3 linked regions of the Drosophila melanogaster genome follow. The protein of the gene in region 3 interacts with the protein of the main gene of each other region in a pairwise test. Each region holds a gene or a part of one and is shown on either strand. Other genes may lie near its edges.

Region 1 (2,963 bases), on a different chromosome or scaffold from region 3:
GAAAGAGCGGAGCAAAACAAACCCACCGATGAGTGAGTTTGCTTTGAGTGAGAGAGCAGAGAGCCTGAGTCAACAGGTTGTTTTGCTGGTTGGGTCACTTAACCTCGTTACTCTTTGTATTCCTCTGTGGGTCACACGGGGCGTATGTGCAATATGGCTCACTCGGTGCGTATGTGTGGCGTATATGGCTCAAGTTTGCCGACAAATCGCCGACAAATTGTTTAGGAACATGGATGCTGGCTACGCACACGACTTGGATTACCAGTTGGGATTGTCTTTAACCCAGGCTGTGGGTTGTCACAGTGCGTATACGTGATTTTGTCTTGACTTTTCTGCAGGACAATTTGTGCGGATGTTGGCGTGCTTTTCTCTTTTCTTTCTGTTCATAATTTTGTATTTTTATGGTCATCCTAAGTTTTTTCGTTTCAAGGGTTTTAACATTTCGAACGTCTTAGAAACTTTCCCACAACTATAAACTGAAGAAAGAGACAATGGGTTTTGTCATTTCACCATGCAAATTTAATTGAATCGATAAAAAATATAAAACATTTGTAGCCCTGACCACCTTATTATTCCTTTTAAATGTGTGAGGTGGAATTGACAACGCATTAAATTAAGACGTTAGTAATCGAATTGGTGCGGTCTTGGATCCTATTTAAAATGGTTACTGGTCTTCTGTTATGTTTATATCAATAGAATCCGGCACATCTTTTGGATATTGCTGATTAAAATCAGACGCTGCAAGACTACGGTCATTCAGAACTTCTGTCTCGTCGGAACTCGGATCCAAGTCGAGAAACGCCTTGGAGATCATTTTGGGATTTAGTTCGGCATCCAGGTCGTTGTTCTCAACTATTTTAATCAAAATTTCCAGGAGCAATTCACAACACTTCTTTTCGTAGCCCATAACATTGGAAATGGCATTATGGATTGTGTCCTTCATTTTTAACAGCTCTTGATTCAAGTTTTCGATATCAACTAGAGCTTTCTGGGAACTGGCCAAAGAAACAGCAATGCGACGTCCCAGATCCTCGTGCTCCAGGCGCATATTGGTGGCATTTTCCCGAAGACATTGCAGCCAAATAGAACGCTTGGCCATTCCCCTCATGTTCATTGTGAGCGTACAAAATATACAGATTTTATTTGAATTTATTTTATGTGTGAATATCTGATTACTTTCAGGGCGTCAATAGTACTGGGAAACCTATTTTAGATCCATAGAAATGACACAGAGGCAACTGGGAATGAGTAGCCTGCTTGGGTGGCGCTACAATAAGATGACTGACATCAATTATATTAATTATCAGAGTAAGCCGATTAGCTGGCTAATGAATTAAACATCATGGGAATTTCCCGGCCCATCCTGAAGGCGACAAATCAATGTCACTTAAAACATATAATTATCATCATTAGCCGCCCAAAAGCATCGCACTCCTCATGAACCTAACTTTTATTACAGACTATTTTGCCAAGCTGATGGTGCTCGGTGTTGCATTCATAATTGATTGTCCTGTGGGCAAACGTGTCCTTTGCCTTTGCGTCCTTCGCAAGATAAGCACTTAAGCTAAATGAAAGCAGATGTCTTAATTTTCATTTAAGTTGCTGACAAAGAGATTTCTAAGCTGCTCTGTCAATGCCTTTATCTGCGACCTTCCTGGTTAATTTTTTATTTCGAATGTGCGAACGTAAATGAAAAAACGCTTGGTAATTGGTCAAAGCTCTTGATTCCGGTCCAAAGCAAAGGATTTCATTTTTAATGAGAAGCAAATATGTTCAGCCCTAATTGGATTAATGGGAAGTCCTGCGGGATCTAAACGGCTTGCGGTCTAGGTCAGAGTCAATGCGATAGGGGCGTTTTTTGAGTGAAAATGTTCGCTTTGTTAACAATTTAACAACTTTGTTGGGAATGGCTTAAAATTTTGTTGGAGAAGAAGGATTAAATCATCTATATGTGATGATGAAAAGCCTATTTATATATATATTATGTTATACTCGCATTCAAGAGATTTAAACACTAAAAGATCATATCTCTATATTCTAAGAGCTTTTCATGAATTTTGATTTTTATAATTAAAAAGGCGCAACTCGTTGTGAACATTGTTGTAGGCAAATGAAAAGTCCTTTTTAACCGGCACGATAATTAAATCATGCTCAAACAGAATTTGAACTGAAATCTCCATCATCGGTTTAACTTTTCTTCCGTTTCCTCCGACCGGAAAAAGCTCTTCCTTAGCTGTCAACTGGTAAATGCCGAATTCTATCAATTTGTCATTCAATCATTGCACGAACGTTGCTAAGCCGACTATGCAAATTGAAGTCAAGAGGCATTAAGTCCAATCCCAAAACTAAAACGCTACTCCATGACACAATTGTCAGGGTTTTATCGGCTTATTTCTATGCATGAGTGCAGACACTCACAAGGACACGTTTATACCCACACAAATGCAGAACACTTTTTGAAAAGGAAGAAGCTTTGGCAATTTTCCGATTATTTTTTCTTCCATGTCGAACTTATGTGAATGCATATATAAGAACATCAATCTTTTTTGTTAGTCTGAATTAAGAGAACTTTATTTCTGATGTGGATTGCAAATACTATTCGATTTTAAAGTCGAATTCATATTTAAGAGACTAAGGACGTGTTGACTTTTGTTTATAGTGAAGTTCAAAATGTACCTTATTTATTTATTTTTTTTCTTTTATATATATTTGCCTCAATAAAGAACCTACAAACACCTTACATATAAACACTATAAACCTGAATATGTATGAAAAAATAATTGAAACCAGTTTGATTGATTGGCTGAAATATAGCAGTTAACTAAGGTTCTGCGCTTTTGATTATTTTGCATCCCCATTTGGAGCTTTCTAAAATTGATGTGCGGTTGGCAGGTGATTTATTGCGGCTTGAAAAGAAAAGGGACTATTTATTTCTCTGCCTGTGCTTGCTTATCAAGTTTCGG
Region 2 (4,371 bases), on a different chromosome or scaffold from region 3:
CTGCCCATGATTAAGCTGAACCGCGAGGTGACCGGTAAGGATGCGTACCTATTACAGAACTGTTTCTCACCAGGAGTAATTGGCATTGACGAGAATGAAACTGCCTATGTAAAGGATGCACGCTACGACACGTGCAGCCGAAATGTGTATCGCTATCCCCAGCTAAACGACGCTGTGACTTTGGCCCGTATCCGAGATCACTACATTTTCTCCGTGGAATCAGTCGGCGCACTGAAGCCCGATGTCATCTTCCTGGAGGCGGTCAAGGTATTGAAGAGAAAGTGCCGGGCGCTAATTGACGAAATTGAGGCAGAATAGTTATTTATTTAGTTGTTAAAGAAATTATATTATGTACATAAGACAGCTTGATATAAATTGTAAGCCTACGAAGATCGTGCTTGCTCTCTCTTGCGCTTGAGCACCTTCAGGCGAAATTCCGTTAGGACCACCTGCAGACGCTCCTGGCACATTAGTGCGTCCTCCAGGTCCATGTTGTTCAGCTGCAGAGCCAAACTCTTGCCAAACAAGTCAAATTCACTAATAATGGTGTCTTCCGTCATCGCGTCGACTTGGTATTCGTTATTAATCTCCGTATCTTCCGGCTTGAGCTGTATCATCTCTTCCTCGTAGACCACCTCTTGGTCCTGGAGATCTGTTTCATTCTGTTGTACTTCGAGGAACTCGTTCTCAACCTCAAATTCTTGCTCTTGATAGGGCTGATCTGTTCTGAGTAAATCATCCAGGATTGAGTCGTTCGAGGCGATTTCGTCCTCCTCCGTCTCCTCCTCCATGCTCTCCACCTTCGTGTCGTTCTTGATCTTTGGCTGCATTTTGCTCCTTGGCTTTTGCCTTGGATAGGTCTTTGATTTGGCTTTGGGCTTTGCTTTGGGTGAAATTATGGAGGCCTCCAAGTCTGGGTCATGCTCATCTTTGACAAGTTCACCCTTAATCATATTCTGTAGGTATAAATACGGAGTTGTTAATTTTATGTAAATTAGTAATGAGATGAGAATTTTTTTTTTGGAGCGATAAGTTGTGCATCGCATAGAGGGAGCTACTGGTTTGGTTAACCATTGCACAAGAAGTAGTCAATGGAATAGTTAACGAAAAGTATGGCGAAAACTCACACAAAAATCGTGTTTGAAATTTAGTTTGGATCGCAAAATATTTGAATCAATAATGGACACGGGTCATTCCTATTGCTTATGCACAAACCCAATCCCACCTTGGCAAGAATGTTGTGGTACTTGAAACTTTCCTGGTGTTTCCGCGTTGCGAGGTGCTGCTTGATGGACGCTAGTCTGGCGAGGACATTGATGTCGCAGATCTTGCAGTGCGCCGAGTAACCGTCATTACTAGACGCCAGCCAGCTGGAGAGCTCCGGATATTTCTCCCACTCTGTGCGATAGCGTTGGTGGTACAGTCGCTTCACCTTCTTGTCCTCATCCGTCTTGTAACCCTTCAGCATTGTGCCCGCTTTCGGATGAAGCTTGTCTGATTTGTGGAAAAGTATTCTTTGAAAGATGAGCGCCAAAAGCAGTCTTTAATAGCTGATGGTGGTAAATATTTTGGTATATTCCAAAAATTTGCGACGCGAAAAAAATCTGAAAGTCGATGCGGTGTGACTGTAATCGAATACGTTATAATACCAGCAATTAATTCCAGGGTTGCGACATAGAGGTTGCTGCGCAACGGTCACACTAAGCTGTTTTGTTTATATAAACATTTTATGCCTTCAAGTTTATATTAGAGGCGTTTATGGTTGTGTTATGTACTTTTTGAAAATACCTTACTTGTACATAGTTCAAATTAATTTAGTTTGAGATTTTAAATAAAATATTCTTTCATGGTTTGGGTCTCAGGTAAAGTTTAAGCAGTCACAATACGGCCACACTACACACTCATAGAGAAAAAATATAGTAAATAAAAAGGCTTTGCCGAATTCAGGATAGCTTTTGCCTGCACCGTGGGTGCTCAGCCAACATGGTCATTCCAAAGGAGATCCTAAGCGACTTCAAGGAGCTATACGAGAAGGCCAACCGTCTGGTGGAGGAGGAGAGCCGCAATGATCCGCCCACGGATCCATTCCGCTCCCATTATAAAGCGCGCGATGTGCTAATTGTCTTGAAGAAGCAGCTGGACGACCAACTGGTATCTGTGCAGGCCAGCGAGGAGGACGGTGGTCAGGACGATCGCTGCTATCACTCTCTGTTGGCCTTCGTTTGCCGGGATCTAGGCAGGATCTACATCTACACAGAGGAGCAGGCAGAGGGCGAAAAGATGCTCAATCGTTGTCTGGAACTAGTCACGCCGTTTAAGGAGTGCCCTGAGGGCATCATTCCATTCATTGGGGCAATCAACGAGCTTAGCATTGTGCTGGCCTCCAAGGAAGAGTACAATAAGGGACTGGAAATTCTCCTGGAGGCAGAAAAAATCTACGAGGACTTCAAAGCCAGTGGTCTGAAGCCCCTGGCCATTCAAGATGTGTTCAATCCTCCGGAGGAGGGACAACAATCTCACGAAGCTGGTCCCAAGGAACTGGAATCCCTGTACACGCTAGTCTCATTTTACATGGCGCAAATGTACGGGCATTTGGGTGAGCCGGAAAAGTCGGCCAAGTGCTGCCATCGCACCCTCCATCGACAGCTTGAGTCAAAAACATACGATCCCATTGATTTCGCACTGAACACCGCCACCTTGTCACAGTTCTATATTGGAGAGAAGCGCTTCGAGGAGGCCCGTCATCACCTGGCCGCTGCTACGCTCATCATGGCCGAATATGAGGTGCACATGCTGGAGCCGGAGATGAGCGAGAAGCAGCGCCAGGACGTGTCGGAGACCTTTAAACATCGCTACGCCGATGTGGCACGCTGTTGGGCCAAATATGGATTGTATTTAATGAACACATCCAAGCTTCGGCTGATGCGGGACGAAGATGACGAGGATGCCAAGAACCTGGAGATCGTTCTGCGCAATATGCGGCTGGTCGAGGCGGAACAGTCCCGGTTTCCTGGACTTGACCTCACCGCGTGTGAAAATCGTATTAGTTGTGAATACTGCCTGACCTTCGACGATGCCAAGTTGGTGTTTCATTTTGTGAACGAGTGGCTCGACATAGCCAAGGACTATTACAAGGCCGAGAACGAAGCTACTGAGTATTCAAAGATAATGCAGGATTACGCCGAAGCGTATGAGCACATTGCCTTCTTCGAGGAGAATCCAGAAAACCAGGCCAAGATGCAAAAGCGTCGCGCCAAGTATCTGGAAGATCTTTTGGATCTGCTTGACCCCATCTTTTACATGAAGATATGCCGAGAATGCTGGTATGGAGCCGGCACAGCTCATGCTGCCGTGATGGATGTCCGTCTCGACATCATTCGGGCCACTAGCACGCCAGCGCCGGAGGACATCAAGAAGGTCAATCAGAGCTGTATGAAGGCCATCAAGCACTTTGAGAGCTATGTCAAATCCTATCTGGTCAAACCGCCCAGCGAGGAATGGCGACCCAACATGGACGTGGAGGAGCAACGCCACATGCTCTACGCCCACTTCCACATCGGTCGCATCTACTACAAGCTGATCAGTGGCCATCCGCTCCAGCAGCTGGAGCACCTAACTAGTTGCCACACCTACTACCAGAGATTCGATGCTGGTTGCCAGCTGCACAAGGAGGCGGCCGAGACGCTGCAGGGCGAGATTGGTGTTGTGCGTGAAATGCTCCAGCTGTTGCCGCTCAAGATAAACACGATTAAGGCCAGGTTGAACAAGGCTGGGCTAACCGCGTGAGAATTTCCAAAAAATTAATTGCATTTGCTAAAAGCTTTATACGTAGTCAAAATAAATCGCGTTTCTTTCAAGGATATTTAATTGTTAATACATTAGTAACTTACATGTTACATTCTGATAGCGAAAGTAAGCCGCTTTTCGATTTTAATTGCCGACAGCATAAATTTATTTCTTGCTACTCGTGAATGGTACTTATGCCGGAGTATGGCTTGGCGCACTGTTTCATATATTGATTATAATAAATAAGTTGAACTACTTCGAAACTCAATTTTTTGCCGAGCATTTCTAAATTTCACAAAACTAAATTGAACGAAGCTCTGTCTCCGAAATACTTTTCAAACCTGGCAACCCTGGCTGCCAGCCATTCACATACGAACAGCTGTTTTTTCCAAACAGGAAGAGGAAGAGCGCCGTTGGCCTAGCCAAAATCAGGGAAAATATAGTTTAATAGCCAAGTTTAAACTGCCACTATAGTTTTAATAGTGAATAATAACAGTAAACTGCTAGTTCGTTCCTTAAAAAATGGCACACGCCACGCCACAGGTATGTGATTGCCTCAAAAATAAAGAGGAAACTGGTAGTGCG
Region 3 (5,158 bases):
GAGCTCCTTATATAAAACTAAATGTTCTCCTTTCATCCGCAGGACACGTTGAACACGTGACCGTCCTGATCGGCATAGCCGTGAAGGATGCTGCTGTGGGCGGCATCATTCATCAGCCATTCTACCAACAGCCCGATGGCGAAATGGGTCGCACCATTTGGGGCCTGAAGGGTCTGGGCACGGGAGGATTCACGGCAGTCCCCGCGCCAGCCGGCCAGTTCATCATAACCACCACTCGCTCGCATTCCAATGCCCTGCATCAGCAAGCCCTCAACGCATTCGCATCCACAGAAGTTCTGAAAGTCGGAGGCGCTGGGTTCAAAGTGCTCCAGCTGCTGGAGGGAAAGGCCCACGCGTACGTCTTCGCCACGCCGGGCTGCAAGAAGTGGGACACCTGCGCACCCGAGGCCGTTCTAGAGGCCCAGGGCGGCTGCCTCACCAACATCAACGGCGAGCACTACGCCTACAATGCGGATGTGGAGCACGTGAATCGACAGGGAGTGCTGGCCAGCCTGGGACAGGACCATGCCGCGCTGGTGGAAAAGATTCCCGCCGAGGTGCGGGCAGCAGTGGGAGCCAAGTGAGATAGCTTTGAATTCCAGCACTTTATTAGTTTATTTGCACTAAAAGTAAACACACATAAATTAAGCAATAACAGGTTAGAAATTTGAAAATTGTTAAAACTGGGCTCAGAATGCATTCTTTATTTATCGAAACTGCCGCTGTTGTTGCTCTGTGTGCTGCTGTTGGCCACCGAGTTGTTCAGGTAGCGATTCCGCTTGGCCTTGGTCATTTTGCAGGAGTTTACGGAGGCCGCGAAGCGCAGCGACTTGACGGACTCTTGGAAACAGTCTTGGAACGGCGAGACGTTGATGAACATAAGCGTTTTCGAGTTGCCGCCCAGCGAGGGCATCAGCAGGTGCGTCAGCTTGGAGTTCCTGTACGGGATGTGGTCCTGCTTCTGCAGCAGCGCCAGGATTACGTTGGTGAGCTCCGATAGCGAGCGATTGATGTTCTTTGTCTCGGTCATCCGGGTGCTCGTCTTGGGAGACTCAGAGCCGGCCAAATCCACCAGGTTTATGGAACCCACGGAGATCTCTTGCTTTTCGGCATGGCGTCCGATGAGCTCAAGCTTGGTAACCGCGTGGGAACGAGAGGAGCGCTCGTTGCCAGCTGTCGAGGCGGTGGCACGGTTCATCTTGGCCGTGTGCATGAGGTGGCGCAGGTGATTTGGATCCAGAACCGTCTCCTCCGTTATGTTGGACACGTAGATGTCGTTCTTGTTGTTCTTGGCCATTCGAATCTCCATGTCCTTCTGCTCGTTGCTCAGCAGATCGTAGAGCACCTCGTTGTAGATCTCCAGAAAGGTGGCCTTGATCTCGTACTCCCAGCCCAAGTTGCGATATCCCCGGATGGAGTCGAAGAGCAGATCCACCGTGCGCGGTATGACGCCCACACTCTCCGGCACTCCGTCCATTGTGTAGGTCTTGCCACTGCCCGTCTGTCCGTAGGCAAAGATGCAGATATTGTAGCCATCCAGGGCCGACTGGATGAGCGGCGAGACCATCTCGAAGATGTCCGACTGCGAGGAGAGCGGGTGGAAGACCTGGTCGAATGAGAAGATCTGCTGGCCCATCTTGCTTTTGGCCTGTGCGTCAATGCTCTGCAGCTCCACGGTGGACTCGTCGTGATAGGTCCAGGTGCAACACATACGGTTCTCCTCGGACTCCAGCGGCGGTCGTATTCGACAGAAGACCCGGATGTTGCCGCGCAGGTCCATGACCGTGTTGTGCAGCTCTTTGCGCTCCATGTTCGACTGGAAGAGCTGCTCTTTGCAGGTCTCCAGCTCGGCGGCCTGCTGCTCATTGCAGCGCAGGAGTTCCTCGGTGCGCTGGCGCAGATGCACCACTTCTGTGCTTAGAGCAGCATGCTCCGTTTTTACTTTCTGCAACACACACATTGTTGTTACATTTAACCTGGGTTTCTGTTTACTTGAGTACTCACCTCATGTATTGCTTGCAGCTCGGATAGCTCCTCTTTGGTCCTGCCCAGCGTCGATGTGATTGTTTCAATTTTGGCGGTATGCTGCTTCACCTGCCTCTGAAGACACTCGTTGTCGCTCTGGGTGTTCTTCAGCGAGGACTCCGTCTCGATAAGCTTGTTCTGCGTCTCCTCCAGTTGCTGAGGCATGGACTCCAGCTCGCCCATGTCCTCTGTTTGCTTTTCGTACTTTGTCTTAAGCACCTTGTGCTTCTCTAGCAGATCGTGGAAGCGGGCCTTGAAGTCGTAGGGAGCGATGCGCTTGGGAGCAGCAGCCGCGGCTCCTGACGAAGCTGCTGCTCCTGTTCCTGCTGGTTTCTTGGCGGCTGCTCCTCCTGCAGCCCGTGGAGCAGGACGCGTTACTGGTGGTCTTTTGACAGCTGTTGCTGTTATTGACGAAGGCGCCGCAGGACGCACTAGTCGCTGGCTGGAAACAGTGAGTGCACCGCCCAGGCGGGATACTTTGCTGGGAATGCTGGGCAATGAAGGAGCAGCCGCAGTGCGCTTGTTACCACGCAGTTCGTTGATGTCGCAAGCGCTACGGCTACGTCTCAGCTTGGCCCGGTGGCCCAACTTCATGGGCTCTGGGGAGGCGGCACGTGCTATCGGAAATTAGCAAGGACTTAAGGTGAATTCTTTGGAAGGATGCTTCTTTACTCACCTCCTCCTCCGCGACGCTCCAGCACCTGGGGCAGATTGTTGAGGTCCCTTGAGAGGGGCGGCAATAAGTTGCCGCAGTATGTCTGGTTGGCATTGACATTGAAGGCGCCTGCTCCAGCGGCTCCACCTCCCAATCCTGCGCGAATTCGATCTGTGGGCAGCACGGTTTTAATCGGCATTTGGGGTTTCTTCAGGCCCGACGGTTTCGGTAGCCGGGATTCCATCGCCAACTGTGTTGTGCCTAACTTAGAAGATACGTCTGCCTCCTTGCAACCGATTTTATCAATTAGTTTTGCGTTGTTGACAAGCGACGCCGTCGATTCCCGCCGTTATTTTTGATTGCAGGGATGCTCTGGGGCAGTGTGACCATTTGTCGGGAGAGTACGGCGTTGCCAGCCAAGACGACTTCCAGTTTGTCAATCAGATGTTTTCAGTGCTGCAGCTTTGGCCCTCGGGCACAAATTTTCGCCTTGACTCGTGCATCCCGCAGGTTTTCGGCGCGTGAAACTCACCCAAGCGGGTGTGAAATACGGTGGCTGTTGCATTCGAACCGTTCATTTTGTGGAAAAGTCGCGGCGGACTGTTCAACAGCCTGAAGAGTGAAGTCTTGTGCGCAGCACTAGTGTCGTTGCCGGACGGTTGCGGCAATCCGGGGCGAACTTCTTGAAAGCGTTTTGCTTTCTTTTTGCGAGCTTGTGCGGTGTGAAGGAAGGCCGCGCTATTCTGAAATTTATTTGTTGCCTCGAAAAAGCTGTGGAAATTGCGTTCCAGTTGGAAAGCAGTTGCGTGATCGGGTCGTTGCCAGACCGGCCGCAGGTCTCACGCGACCATCTCTAGTTTGTTTTCATTCGGATTGGAAAAGGCTCGTTCCCATCGAACTGATTTTGTGAATTTTAAAATTGGCTTCCCCCACGTCCGCCAATCCCCCCGAGATGTCGGGGCAGGCGGAGCTCAAGGAGCTGGGCATGTTCGAGCTGCGCCCGCTGATCACTAACATCAGCTGCAAGCTGTCCGCGGTGACAGCGGGGCTGGACGAAAAGCGACAGTTCCTATGCCTCGTTTCTGAGGAAAACGAGATCCTGCTGCGCTACATAAGCGCCGCCTCCGGCCAGGAGGTGGTCAAGATGATATCCTGGTTCCGCAACCGCGTCATCCACGACGTCTGCTTCGATCCGGCGGGCGTTTGGCTGCTGGTGCTATGTGAGTTTCAGCGTATGATGGCATGAGCACCACCCACTTTTTTGTGTTGGGTGGGTGGTTGCTGTGGTGGTGCTGCTAAAATTACTTTGCCCCCATGTGTGCGTGTATGGTTATTGATTTTCTGCTGCCTCCCCTTTGTTTTGATTTAACGATCGAATGGAGTCCTTGCTCAAACACCACTTATCCACTGCTCTGTCAACAGGTTTCGACAACACACTGCACATCGTGCCCGCCCTGGCGTTGGTGGACAAGGCCCATGGACTGTCCGCCTGCTCGCTCTACAGCACCACCCAGGTCACCTCCTACATCATCCCCTTTGTGGGCCCCCACGAGTGTCCCAACTCCAAAAAGTGCCCCAATCACTCCACCGGTCTGGAAGAGTCCACGGCGGAGCCAATGGATCAGTTGGCTGAGAACCTAGAGCAGGCCAGGTTGCAGGAAGGCGAAGAGGAGGAGCCTCTTGGCCACGACCTGCCCGAGCACATGCTGGTGCGAAATAGCGGAACTGAGGATGCAGTGCAGCCACTGCCGCAGCAGCAGCAGACGATCGATACCACCGGCAATAGCCAGGTGATGGCAGCCTCTTTCATGGCGTCCAAGACCTGCCCCTATCCCTTGTCCGTCGTCTGGTGGAAGACCAACAGTGGACAGAATAGGGCCATTATCGGCTACTCGGATGGCTCCATCTGCTTTGTGGGCCTGAGTCCCAACTGCCCCATGATTGCGAGCACTGCCATCGAAAACGGATCTGTGATGCGCCTGGTTATCTGCAAAGATAAAGCCTACGATGGTGTTATGCTGCTGGTAAGGAACTATTCTACTAATATAGATTTCCAGATGATAGAATATGGTTTACCGTCTTTCAGATAACTTCCTCCCTGAAGCAGCAGTACAAACTTTTGCTGGAGCAAAAGGCAATCAAATACGTCTATCCCGGAGACAGTTCCCCGACAACCCGCGAGGGCGCCTGGCAGATCGTGATGTCCGTGCAGGACAAGCATCAGAGTGCGGCGACAGGCGCCCGACAAAGCAATAGTTCCGATCCGGCCTCGGACAGTAGCCAACTGGAAGAGGATGTGTTCGCGCCTCCGTCCAGCGATGATGTGGTATGCAGTGGTCCAGGAGCAGCCAACTCAGACCCGTCCACTGTTTCGGCATCCGCAGAGGCAGCCACTGCAGACGTGCCTCCACCACCGGCGCCGCCTTCGTACAGTGAGGCAGTGGCTAGGCAATCCGGTGACCAAGGCGGCGTTCGCTT

What was found.
Region 1: the proteins of ncd (region 3) and CG13476 interact in a two-hybrid assay, tested with the Drosophila melanogaster proteins (one large-scale study listed by BioGRID).
Region 2: the proteins of ncd (region 3) and CG14043 interact in a two-hybrid assay, tested with the Drosophila melanogaster proteins (one large-scale study listed by BioGRID).

The regions. Positions count from the first base shown.
Region 1 is NT_037436.4:14,703,695-14,706,657, reverse strand, and holds CG13476 (uncharacterized protein), read right to left. Parts: upstream 1,195-2,963; 5' UTR 1,115-1,194; coding exon 665-1,114; 3' UTR 501-664; downstream 1-500.
Region 2 is NT_033779.5:4,969,829-4,974,199, forward strand, and holds CG14043 (uncharacterized protein), read left to right. Parts: upstream 1-1,873; 5' UTR 1,874-1,983; coding exon 1,984-3,786; 3' UTR 3,787-3,859; downstream 3,860-4,371. Other genes in the region: Polr1C (RNA polymerase I and III subunit C), read left to right, coding at 1-318; l(2)05714 (lethal (2) 05714), read right to left, coding at 384-956, 1,226-1,468; mRpL28 (mitochondrial ribosomal protein L28), read left to right, coding at 4,309-4,329.
Region 3 is NT_033777.3:29,803,703-29,808,860, forward strand, and holds ncd (non-claret disjunctional), read right to left. Parts: upstream 3,426-5,158; 5' UTR 2,925-3,425; coding exon 2,702-2,924; intron 2,643-2,701; coding exon 2,005-2,642; intron 1,946-2,004; coding exon 704-1,945; 3' UTR 588-703; downstream 1-587. Other genes in the region: CG7789 (uncharacterized protein), read left to right, coding at 43-584; ca (claret), read left to right, coding at 3,633-3,900, 4,103-4,704, 4,767-5,158. UniProt on the Drosophila melanogaster protein: Minus-end-directed microtubule-based motor protein. Has ATPase activity. Required for normal chromosomal segregation in meiosis in females, and in early mitotic divisions of the embryo.